Cricetulus griseus: one gene and its partners. The protein of the gene in region 2 interacts with the protein of the main gene of each other region in a pairwise test. Links are inferred from orthologs where the notes say so. Each region holds a gene or a part of one and is shown on either strand. Other genes may lie near its edges.

Region 1 (3,650 bases), on a different chromosome or scaffold from region 2:
CCAATTACATGCATTAGTGTGTTCGTATCTCCTGATAGTAGAAAAGCACTGTAACAAATTAACCTGTAGATTAGGAGGGATGTTTATTTTCTTCCCTTACACTTTTTCTGCATTCCCAAAGCATGTTATCATAAATGTGCTTGTTTGGATAATCAGAAAGAAAATTAGTTTTATTTGCTGGGTAGATTAATTTATACATTTTAGTACTTATAAAATTATACATTAATTGGATCTTATGACATTTAGCTTTTTCCAAAAATATAATAAGAACATTAGTAATCTGCTTTTTCTTCGGATTTTCAAGACACGGTTTCTCTGTGTAGCTCTGACTGTCCTGGAACTCCCTGTAGACCAGGGGGCCTCAAACTCAGAGATCCACCTGCCTCTGCCTCCCGAGTTCAGGGATTAAAGACATGGACCACCACTGCCAGGCTGAAATGTGCTTTTAAAATACTATTTATTTTTAAGGTTTAGTACCAGCAAGATGGTGGCACTTACCACCAAGTCTTACAACCTGAGTCCTGTTCTCAAGGATCCATATGGTAGAAGGAGAGAACAGAGTCCAGCAAGGTGTCCTGTGACCTCCACATGTACTCCATGACACTTAGCATCGTGTGAGTGTACACATGCACACACACATACACACATACATAATATAAATAAATAAATGTAAAAACACTGCTATCATAAACTATTTCTGTGCCAAATGTTATCTGCTATTTGAGACTTACTGCTAAATCTCTTCTCAGGAGTTGACATCTTCTAATTGGAGTACAAACATTCTGTCTCCACTGTTGGATATTTCCTCATGAGTAGAGAAGGAAATAGTTTGCATCCCAGCTCACCCTAAAGGGCTGGGAGATGAGTATGTCACGCTCCCATGTTCTGTGATTTGCTGAAATTTGCCAAATGTTTCCTTTCTCTGTCTGTAAAGTGGGAGGATGAAGTCTGCCTTCCAGAGGTTTCTGAGGGTTACCCGATTTGGAGACAGAGAGCCCAATGTGAGAGCTGGTGTGTAACATGCAGCTGGTAAACTGCATCTGTGGCCGTTGCCTCTGCGTGGACTGACTGGAGGAGAACCCTTTAGAGCAATGCCCATTCCTGAAATTGATTTTGTGTAGCACATCAGGCTTCATCAGAGCTGCCCGAGCCCCTTACCCATGATCTAAGTCAAAGCCCACAGCAGCTGTGGAAGATAGGGTCAGCTTAAGCACACCCCACATACAGTCAATAGCACAAATCTTTAGAGAAGGACAGCCAGGGGTGTATATCAGTGCGTATCAGCGCCCTGCTCACACACCCATTTCTCCTAGGTTTACTGGACATGCCCAACAGAAGACGTGGACTCCTTTGAGATGGAATTCTATGAGCTCATTAATACCCCTCCTAACAATGTTCGAACAGAGCTCTGTGGACAAATTCGGGACATCATGCAGCAGAACCTGGAGCTGCACAACCTGACTCCCAACACAGAGTATTTGTTCAAGGTTAGAGCCATCAACGATAATGGTCCCGGGCAATGGAGTGACATCTGCAAGGTCAGTACATTCATTTCTTAGGTAGATTTTTTTTTATTACTTGGACTTCTTAATTCTTACCAATTTATTGGAGGGGCCCATATGTGCACGCATGCCCACACACTACCCACACATGCACGCCATGGTGTGCACATGGATGTCAGAGGAGAACAACTTGCAAAAGTTAGTTTCATCTCTCTTATGTGGGTCCTGAGGATCAAAGTGAGGTCCTCAGGCTTGTTGTCAAGAGCCTTTGCCAACTGAGCCATCTCTCTGCCCCATCAAGTGGGAATGACTTGATAGGGTCCAGATTTGGCTTGAAGATCATCAGAGAACGGCGAATTCTGCCTCTACACTCAGAAAGCTAAAGTCTCAGCCAGAGGCAGGGCTGCTGGTCTCCACCAGACTGTGCAAACCAGGTCTGAGGATGGTAGGGTCTGCTGAACTCAAAACGACTTGTTCTAGGCTTTATGTTAGAATATAGAAACGCAGAGTTAAAACCAAGCTTAACCCCTCCTTCTGCGGCAGTCAGGAACTAGTAAACACACCATGGTATATGAGGAGAATAAGAAAAACAAACTCCAAGGGAGTGCTACACCCTGCAGAGGCAAGGTGTGAAATTTAGCATAGAGGCAGGACAGTCGGTTAAACCAGAATTTCTCAAAGACAGCAAACAAAACTTGTGGTACAAGTACGCCCTATATAATATTTAAGACATTTATACTAAAATTATTTTTTGTTTAACTGGGAGTTAAAAAACAGACACTGAGCAAGTCCGTTGAGCTCCATAAAGCAAGGAAACAAGCTTCTTCTTTGCACTGGAGAGCTGATTCTTCTTCGAATTCCCAAGTGACACTCATGAATGCCATCAGACTGATATTAAGAATACCAGACTGCCAAGAGCTCTTCTACTATGTAACTGTGAAGATGCTCTTTGGAAGCTGAGTAAGTCTTAGGGGTTCTTTAAAATGTAGAAAGGACAGGTCCATTCACTTGGGGTTTAGAAGAAGGTGGACTTACAGCCTCAAGAAACTTCTAAGATACATCTAGAAGACATGTGTCTGTCTGACCTGACATCCACAAAAACCAAAAAGTTATCCCTCTCCCTCCCCTCCCTGCCCATCACTCTTCTCCACTCCCCCTCCAGTCTCTGCCCCATCCCTTCCCTCCCTTCCTTCCCTCTTCTCTCCCCTCTTCTCCTCTCACCTCTGCTTCCGTCTTCCCGTCTCTTTCCATCTCCCCCTCCCTTTCTCTCCCTTCCCTCTGCTCCCCTCTCTTCTCCTTCTCCTCCTCTCCTGGCCACTTCTCTCTGAATCTGCCTCAGTTTCGGTTACCCCTTAGTTTCTACTCCCTTAAACCCAGCTTTCCTGTACCTTTGGATAGTCTCCATCCATGGCTCAGTACCCATCATTCTGGTTAATCACACTTTAGCAACTTGCTGAGATATTTGAGTGCAAGAATCTGATTGGTCATTGTCTCTAATAATAATGGAGAATGGGAAATAATGACAGGCAGGCATACGTATGCTGCCATGGAGCAAGTCTGCAGAGTAGGCTATTCCCAACACCTCCTACTGTCATGCTTCCTTCCTTCTTCCTCAAAGGTCAGACACATACCAAGGAAGCGTGATGAGAAAGCCTGTCTGGCTACTCTTCAGCTGTTTCTCAGTCAGCCTCCATGCCTGTCGATCAGTCGCCACAGAGACCTCCTCACTCCAGAGCCCCGAAGCCTCACACCTGTGACTACATAATGTACTCTGTGCTCTTGACTGTGGATTTTTCCTGTAATCTGATCCCATCTGCCTCCTCAGCTTTTAGACTCTCTCAGAAATGGCTTGCCCATGAAGGGCACTCAGTAGTTATTTTTTTTTAATGAATCATCTGTCATCTCTTGATGTGAGGATTGGGATGGATAGAGTACTTGAGGACTGCCATCAGTCTGTCATGCTACCTCTTGGGTCTTCCCCTCCCTCTCACACTATGACCTCCTCGAAAACAAAATTCTTGCCTAATTCATCTTTCTTTATCCTGAGGTGCTTACCACAGCAGTTTGCATACAGCAGCTTCTTAATGGTTATTGAGTGGATACATGAGTAAAACTGTAACCAAACAAATGAATCTATGAGTGGGCGTC
Region 2 (3,750 bases):
AACTTCCTTTTTCTATAGACAGAGAACACCCAAACTCACACATAAATTACTCTGATAATTTCACGTCTAGAAGCATGGTCAGAATAAAACCTGTGCAGAATTGCTTGCAAGGTTTCTTAGGTGATCACTGACTTTCTCCTACTTAAGAACGCGTTCATTCTCTGTGTGGCCTTTTCTCTCTTCAAGCCTAGGGCTGACATTAAACCTAACAGTAAACAGCAATTACCAACACCATCAGCATCATCGTAGGGGTGAGGTTGATGGAAAACAGGACCCCTGTCCTGGGATGATGCTCACATTTGCACGTGTCTCTCTGGGGAGTGACCTGAAGGTTCACACAAGCAACTACACAGTCCGTTGGAAAGTATACAATCCACTCAGCCATCTGTCCACTGCCCCTCCCACCTGCCAGTCCCTCCCCACCCCCCAGACATGCAATAGGGGGCGGTGGCAAGAGGAGGTTTTCCCACTCCTAACAAGCAAGCCCCTTATGAAAGAGAGAAATGTGACGCGGGAGGTCAGCATACTTTGTAAGAACTGTGCGATCCGTCCTTCTGTCCCGTCCCTCCGTCCCTCTGAGGCCTACGCTGGAGCGAGCAAGCTCCTGGGTCTCTAAGAGCAGACAGAAGGCCTGCAGCTCAGGCTCGGCCCTCATGCCGGCCACGTCTGCTAGCGTCATCTTTCTCATCTGCCTTCCACCCTCAAACTCCAGCAGCAGAGTTGCTCCGGATCCTGAGGGACTACCAAGAGCAAAGCTGACTGACTGGGAAGGAGAAAGGGGAAGAGATCCAGAGAAGAGGGAGGGCAGAGAAGAGAGCAGACACCCGGACTTTCCCAGAGAGCTGGGTTCCTAGGGCTCCCCCGCCCCCCTGGGGTCGAATTACAGAAGCTCCCATAGCCACGCTATTGGCCCGTAGGAGTCAGGGCAGAGGGCTCTGAGACCCTCCGGATGAGGACAGTAGCTTCTTTTCTTTCTCTGGTCCCCATCACACCCACCCTGATTCCTCCCAGACAATCCTTTGCGCACGTCCCCCTACATTCCGAGGCGGGTGAGGCAGTGACGCAGCCTTGCCCTAGGCGCCTGGGTTCCAGGCTCAAGTCTCTGCAGGGACTGGGTGGTGGCGGCCATCCCGAGCTGAGGGGATGATGTGTGCTGGATTCCTACCCTTCCCACCCTGTTTGCTCCCGGCTCCGCCAGGGTCCTTGAGACCATGCAGAGAGCTCTGGCCTACCGAGGCCCGCCTCAAGAGAGCCGAGAGGCCTCGTCCCCTCTCACCTCTTGTCAGTTCAGCTTTCTAGGCTGGGTGGGGAAAGGGCCGCGGAGGGTCGCCTCCCATCCCCCACATCCTGGAGGCGGAGGCGAGCAGAGTCGGGCGCGCGCAGAAGTCAATCTCTACTCCCCTTGGCCCCAGTGCTCCAAGTCAGCTCTGGCAGCGGCCGGAGCAGCCGCCGCGGCCCGGGCAGCCTGGGGGGGCGACCGCGCGTCACCTAGACTGAGGAGCGCCGGGGATTTAAATGCCACTGAAACGGTGATCCATCACCGCCGCAGCCGGTAAACTTTCGCAGGCGGCTCAGCCATTGGTTGACAAAGTCACGTGTCCTTCCCCTTGAGTCCTCCGCCTTCCCGCCCCGCCTCTTGCGCACTGTACATTCATATCATTTTTCTTCTCTGGTCCCATGGAGGAAGTGAGAAAGTTGGCACGGTCACCCAGGGCTTCGCAGGACCCAGTCACTCAGTGACAGATGGACAATGCAAGAATGAGCTCCTTCCTGGAATATCCCATCCTTGGCAGTGGCGACTCCGGGACCTGCTCTGCGCGAGCCTACACCTCTGACCATGGGATTACAACTTTCCAATCCTGCGCGGTCAGTGCCAACAGCTGCGGCGGCGACGACCGCTTCCTAGTGGGCAGGGGGGTGCAGATCAGCTCGCCCCACCACCACCACCATCACCACCCCCAGCCGTCTACTTACCAGACTTCTGGGAGTCTGGGGGTTTCCTACTCCCACTCGAGTTGTGGTCCAAGCTATGGCGCGCAGAACTTCAGTGCGCCTTATGGCCCCTATGGATTAAATCAGGAAGCAGACGTAAGTGGTGGGTACTCCCCGTGCGCTCCCGCTGTTTACTCTGGAAACCTCTCATCTCCCATGGTCCAGCATCACCACCACCACCACCACCAGGGTTATGCTGGGGGCACGGTGGGCTCGCCTCAGTATATCCACCACTCTTATGGACAAGAGCACCAGAGCCTGGCCCTGGCCACGTATAATAACTCCTTATCCCCTCTCCACGCCAGCCACCAAGAAGCCTGTCGCTCCCCTGCTTCAGAGACGCCTTCTCCAGCGCAGACCTTTGACTGGATGAAAGTCAAAAGAAACCCTCCCAAAACAGGTGAGTCCTGCCGGCTGGCAAACAAATGTTGCTTGATTTTGAAAGGGGCCGGTGCGCTTAGTTTCCTAGGAAAGTTAATGATTTTAAAAGATGGGTTCTTGCTTCTGTCTAGTGTCTTCTGGAGTTATAGTGTGTGGTGTAGGATGCCCAGGTGTGTTGGGGCAAAGCAGTTTCTGGACCTGGCATTTTCAAAGGGGCTGATGCTTCAGTGGTCTAGAAGTAGGAAGCGTGTGTGTGTGTGTGTGTGTGTGTGTGTGTGTGTGTGTGTGTGTGTGTGTGTGTGGTGTGGTGTGGGTGGGAGGTGTCGGTGGTGGTGGAGTTTTGTTAATATCTACAGGCTCCATTAATCAGAAGCCTGACCACGCTAATGGTTGACTTCAGGTTAACACTTTACATACACATCGTTTGTCACTAGAGCTTCCCAGCTGGGTTTGTGCTGAGCAGTTAACCGAATGTTGCCCCGAACATTGGGCAATCGGATAAGGGTTAAAGAATTTTTACCTTTTCCTCTCTTCCTCCGTTACCCCAGGGAAAGTTGGAGAGTATGGCTATGTGGGTCAACCCAACGCAGTGCGCACCAACTTCACCACCAAGCAGCTCACGGAGCTGGAGAAGGAGTTCCACTTCAACAAGTACCTGACACGAGCGCGCAGGGTGGAGATAGCCGCGTCCCTGCAGCTCAACGAGACCCAGGTGAAGATCTGGTTCCAGAATCGCCGCATGAAGCAGAAGAAGCGTGAGAAGGAGGGGCTCCTGCCCATTTCTCCAGCCACTCCTCCTGGAAGCGACGAGAAAGCTGAAGAATCTTCTGAGAAATCCAGCTCCTCGCCCTGCGTTCCTTCTCCAGCATCATCTACCTCAGACACCCTGCCTACCTCCCATTGAGGCCACTCCAGCCCAGCTCCGTAGTCCAGGCTTCTCCCTGGGCTAGGGTTTCTTACCCAAAGCACATCTCTAGCTTATCTTTCTTCCTTTACAGTCTCTCTTTTTCTTTCTGGTCCAATCCAGAGAGCTCCTGGGCAACATAATGTAGTTCCATAGAATTCTGGAGACTTGGTTGTAAATTAAATCCTTAATCCACATCGGGTGCCCATATCAATTTCTGGTGGCCCCCAAAATTCCTTCCTCACTGTTGTGAGAGTTTTTTTTACACAACCCATGGTTCCTTTCAGATGTCCCTTGGAGGACAGTACCCTTTGCCAGCAGGCATTTGAAGAAGGGAGGCATCTCACCTTTTATCTGTATATTGTTCTTCTCTACCTGGCTCTTAAGTAGGACACACAAAAAAGAGAGTATCCAAAGGCTCATGAAGAAGAGATTGACTGAGTGTGTTTACACAATTAATTCACCCCTTAACT
Region 3 (3,177 bases), on a different chromosome or scaffold from region 2:
TCCCAGTCTCAAGGAAGCCTGGGTCACACAGCACCAGAGGGCAGAGCCTGCCATCCCCCACTGTCCGATGGTCTCAGTCACAGATCACTGCTGTACTGTTTTGTTTCGTTTTTTTTTTTTTTTTTCTTTTTATAAATGAACTCTGAGAAGTGCCTAGAGACCAGGGGTCTCTTTCAGAGGGTGGGCAAGAACCGCTTCCCAGGTCTCCATTCAAGGATCCAGGGTGGCAAGGATGGTATCTAACCACCCACATGTCCCTTCTCTCGGGCTGCAGTATATAAGTTCCCTGCTCCCCCAAATTGCCTCCAGGGGATGAGCTGTGATCAGTCAGCAGTGCTGTTCTCAGTGAATGTGTGGGGTCCACAGAACTGAAGGGTGACAGATCATGGGCCTGGAGGCATGACCTTGAGGACAGGCTGAAGACCGGTCTTTTAGCCTCTGGCTGTGAGTGGAGTCAGCAAGCCACCAAGGGAAAACTGAGCCTCAGTCTGCCTGCTGCAGCTCCTGTGTGTAGACAGGTGCTTCACTTTACTTGGAGCCTCCAGGATGGGAGTACAGTGCACGCCCAGTCCCAATTCACCCACTGACAGCAGTTCAAGTCCCAGCTTTTATTATGACAAAGATGGGGACAATCCCCACCTCACCTCTGGACAGGGTGCTCGCGTACCTTTCCTGGAAAGCCCTATTGGGAGAGTCACAAGACCCCATGCCCTCTCCCCATGCCCAAGTCCTAGGAACCTGAGAAATAGGGAAAGACAAGCAGGGCTTTCTGCTCACAGGCACCACCAGATAGCACCTGAAGTCCGGCTGGCAGGGATGTAAGGGTGACAGCTTAGTCCAACCTGGGTGACCAGATGCTATCACAGATCTTTTTTGCAAGAGCCTAGAGCAGGAAAGGAAAGAGGGTGCAAACTTGCAAATCTGCCAATCCCCAGGGGTAGTTCCACCCACCCCATGGGTTCCCCAGGATCTTTGTGGGTGGGGAGGTGTGGCACTCACAGGACCCTAGCTGCTCCTCCAAGAAGGAGACCTGCTCACTCAGTGAATCAATGCGGTCCAGCTGCTGGAAGGAGTGGGCCAGCAGGCTGCCAGGGTCTTGTAGCCCATGCTCTGTAGCCCAAGAGGCCAGGCTGTGCAGTGGGGCCAGCACCAACTGCAGTTTCTGTAAGGGAGGTTGCAAAAAGCCAAGTGACCAGGTAGGACCAGTAAGGGTGCGATAAGTCCCCTACTGAGCTGTAGCAGCAGGGGCCCTGCTTACAAATAGAGGGAGCCCAAAACCTAGTAGACACAGGTGTATAACATACCCACAACCTAGTTAAATGGTTTCAGGACCCAGAGACAAGCTAGGAGTCATGGGACCTGTGGCTTGATGATACTTGGAAGAGTCCTGTACAACAGGCTAAGTGGGCTCTGAACCTCAGTTCCTCCCAGGCTGGGGAATCCCACACAGTGCTGCCTGGCATAGTAAGAAAGCCAGAATCCCCACAGCCCTTCCCCATAAAACCCCCAACCATCCTATATGGCTTGGAACCACAGCCCCAGAGACTATGGGGTCTGTGGACACCAGCCAGACTCACTCCCATCCAAGCCTCACCTGCTCCAGCACATCAACCCGGGACTGCAGCCTGTGTACCTCCTCCCTCACCATGCTGTCCACTCCTGGGGGCAGATCGGGTGCTAATCAGGGGAGTTTCCTGCCCCACAACGAGCTCTTAGCCTTAGGAAGCCCTATGTCTGCTGCCACAGCTGTGGGAGCAGAGCCTGGAGATGAGCCTCTGGATGTTGCTGTTAAGTCTCAGGCCCTACCAGAGCACATAACTCAGAGCAGCCCCTGCCTACCCCCACCCCACCCCCACCAGGTACCGAGGTCTTGGGTCTGGCATGCCAGTGGCGATCCTTATGCAGGTCCGGTGCACTCCTGGCGCTGGGCTGCTGACAGCGCATTATTACTCACGGTACGAGTTTGAAGTGTCACAGCGCGTACCAAAAGTAATAATGTGCTGTCACCGGCAAAGACACGGCGTCTCCAGGCTGCCAGACCCAGGGTGGGGCTCATTTTCACTCAGTTGGCTGAGATGAGACTCCAGGTATGCCTGTCTCCCCACAATGCCTTCCAGAAACCTCCCTCCAGCCCGGGATGTCTGGGCTCAGCCCTCGCAGCACAGTGCTGACCTCCACCCAGGGCGAGCTGCCCCCTGTGACCTCCATGCTCAGCTCAACCACAGAACAGTGCTCACAACCCAACAACCACCCAGGTCAGTCACAGTATGGTGGAAAGGCAAGATTACCTGCTGTGGGGCTTGGGGCCACCAAGGAGGGTCGCTCCTTGGGCAGGCAGCGCATTCCATCTACAGACAGGCTTTGCCCCTCCCAACACTCGCACCAGTAACTTCCCACAGTATTGACACAGCGCTGGGGACAGCTGGCCTCTCCGGTACTGCATTCATCCACATCTGTAGGAAATGAAGGTGTTGATCTAGTTGTGTCTACAGAAGGCAAGGTCCTGGCCACAGGCCCCTGTTAGGACCAACTTATCAATGAAAACTGCTTCAGCTGGCAGTAACCTAGAATATACAAGGCACCAAGAAGACCTGTCTTTGAAGAAGAGCGGTGCTTACCTATCTGGCAAGTATCTCCTTGCCATCCCACGGGGCAGCGGCAGTGGCCTGGGCGGATACAACTCCCTCCATTCCCACATGGAGGCTGGCATATTGCTGTGGGTAGAAGAGGCCTGTTTGTCACCAACTCAGGAGGGTCTCCAGAGCCCTGTGACAGCCAGGGAAGGGTTGCCCTGCAGCGAGGATGCACTACTTGGGGGACAGAAGGCAGCAGGGCCTCTGCTGGGCAGCTGGAAGTGGGGTCTTACATTGGGCACAGTGCGCATTGCCCTCACCTGCTCCACAAGCCCCGGGAAGTCCGCTGGTCCTCTTCCAACCAGGGCAGCAGGCATAGTGAGGCCTGGTGGGAGTTGGCCCAGGGCTGCGGCGATAGGCAGTCCGGTAGATGGTTCTGTGGTGAATAAGGGTGGTTCAGAGGGGTCCAACATGGGGTGACCTATGCCAAGTCTTTCTCAGGTAGGATGCACCCTACCCACCTCATCTGTTTGTGGATGATTAGCCAGCATCAGTCCCAGGATCTGAGGTTCCCTTCCCAAGCCCCAGCTCATTTGGCATAGAT

What was found.
Region 1: the proteins of Hoxa1 (region 2) and Trim42 interact in binary tests that used the Homo sapiens proteins (3 or more experiments, as listed by UniProt). The two-hybrid records come from large-scale screens. The link is inferred for Cricetulus griseus from reciprocal best matches to the Homo sapiens genes HOXA1 and TRIM42.
Region 3: the proteins of Hoxa1 (region 2) and Egfl7 interact in binary tests that used the Homo sapiens proteins (3 or more experiments, as listed by UniProt). The link is inferred for Cricetulus griseus from reciprocal best matches to the Homo sapiens genes HOXA1 and EGFL7.

Annotation. Positions count from the first base shown.
Region 1 is NC_048597.1:205,874,007-205,877,656, reverse strand, and holds part of Trim42 (tripartite motif-containing protein 42), read left to right. Parts: intron 1-1,313; coding exon 1,314-1,538; intron 1,539-3,650.
Region 2 is NC_048601.1:89,186,357-89,190,106, forward strand, and holds the start of Hoxa1 (homeobox protein Hox-A1), read left to right. Parts: upstream 1-1,629; 5' UTR 1,630-1,743; coding exon 1,744-2,392; intron 2,393-2,921; coding exon 2,922-3,277; 3' UTR 3,278-3,750. UniProt on the Homo sapiens protein: Sequence-specific transcription factor. Regulates multiple developmental processes including brainstem, inner and outer ear, abducens nerve and cardiovascular development and morphogenesis as well as cognition and behavior.
Region 3 is NC_048599.1:137,982,386-137,985,562, reverse strand, and holds the end of Egfl7 (epidermal growth factor-like protein 7), read right to left. Parts: intron 3,010-3,177; coding exon 2,894-3,009; intron 2,715-2,893; coding exon 2,619-2,714; intron 2,454-2,618; coding exon 2,289-2,453; intron 2,010-2,288; exon of another isoform or gene 1,930-2,009; intron 1,660-1,929; coding exon 1,595-1,659; intron 1,163-1,594; coding exon 1,000-1,162; intron 884-999; coding exon 861-883; 3' UTR 629-860; downstream 1-628. UniProt on the Homo sapiens protein: Regulates vascular tubulogenesis in vivo. Inhibits platelet-derived growth factor (PDGF)-BB-induced smooth muscle cell migration and promotes endothelial cell adhesion to the extracellular matrix and angiogenesis.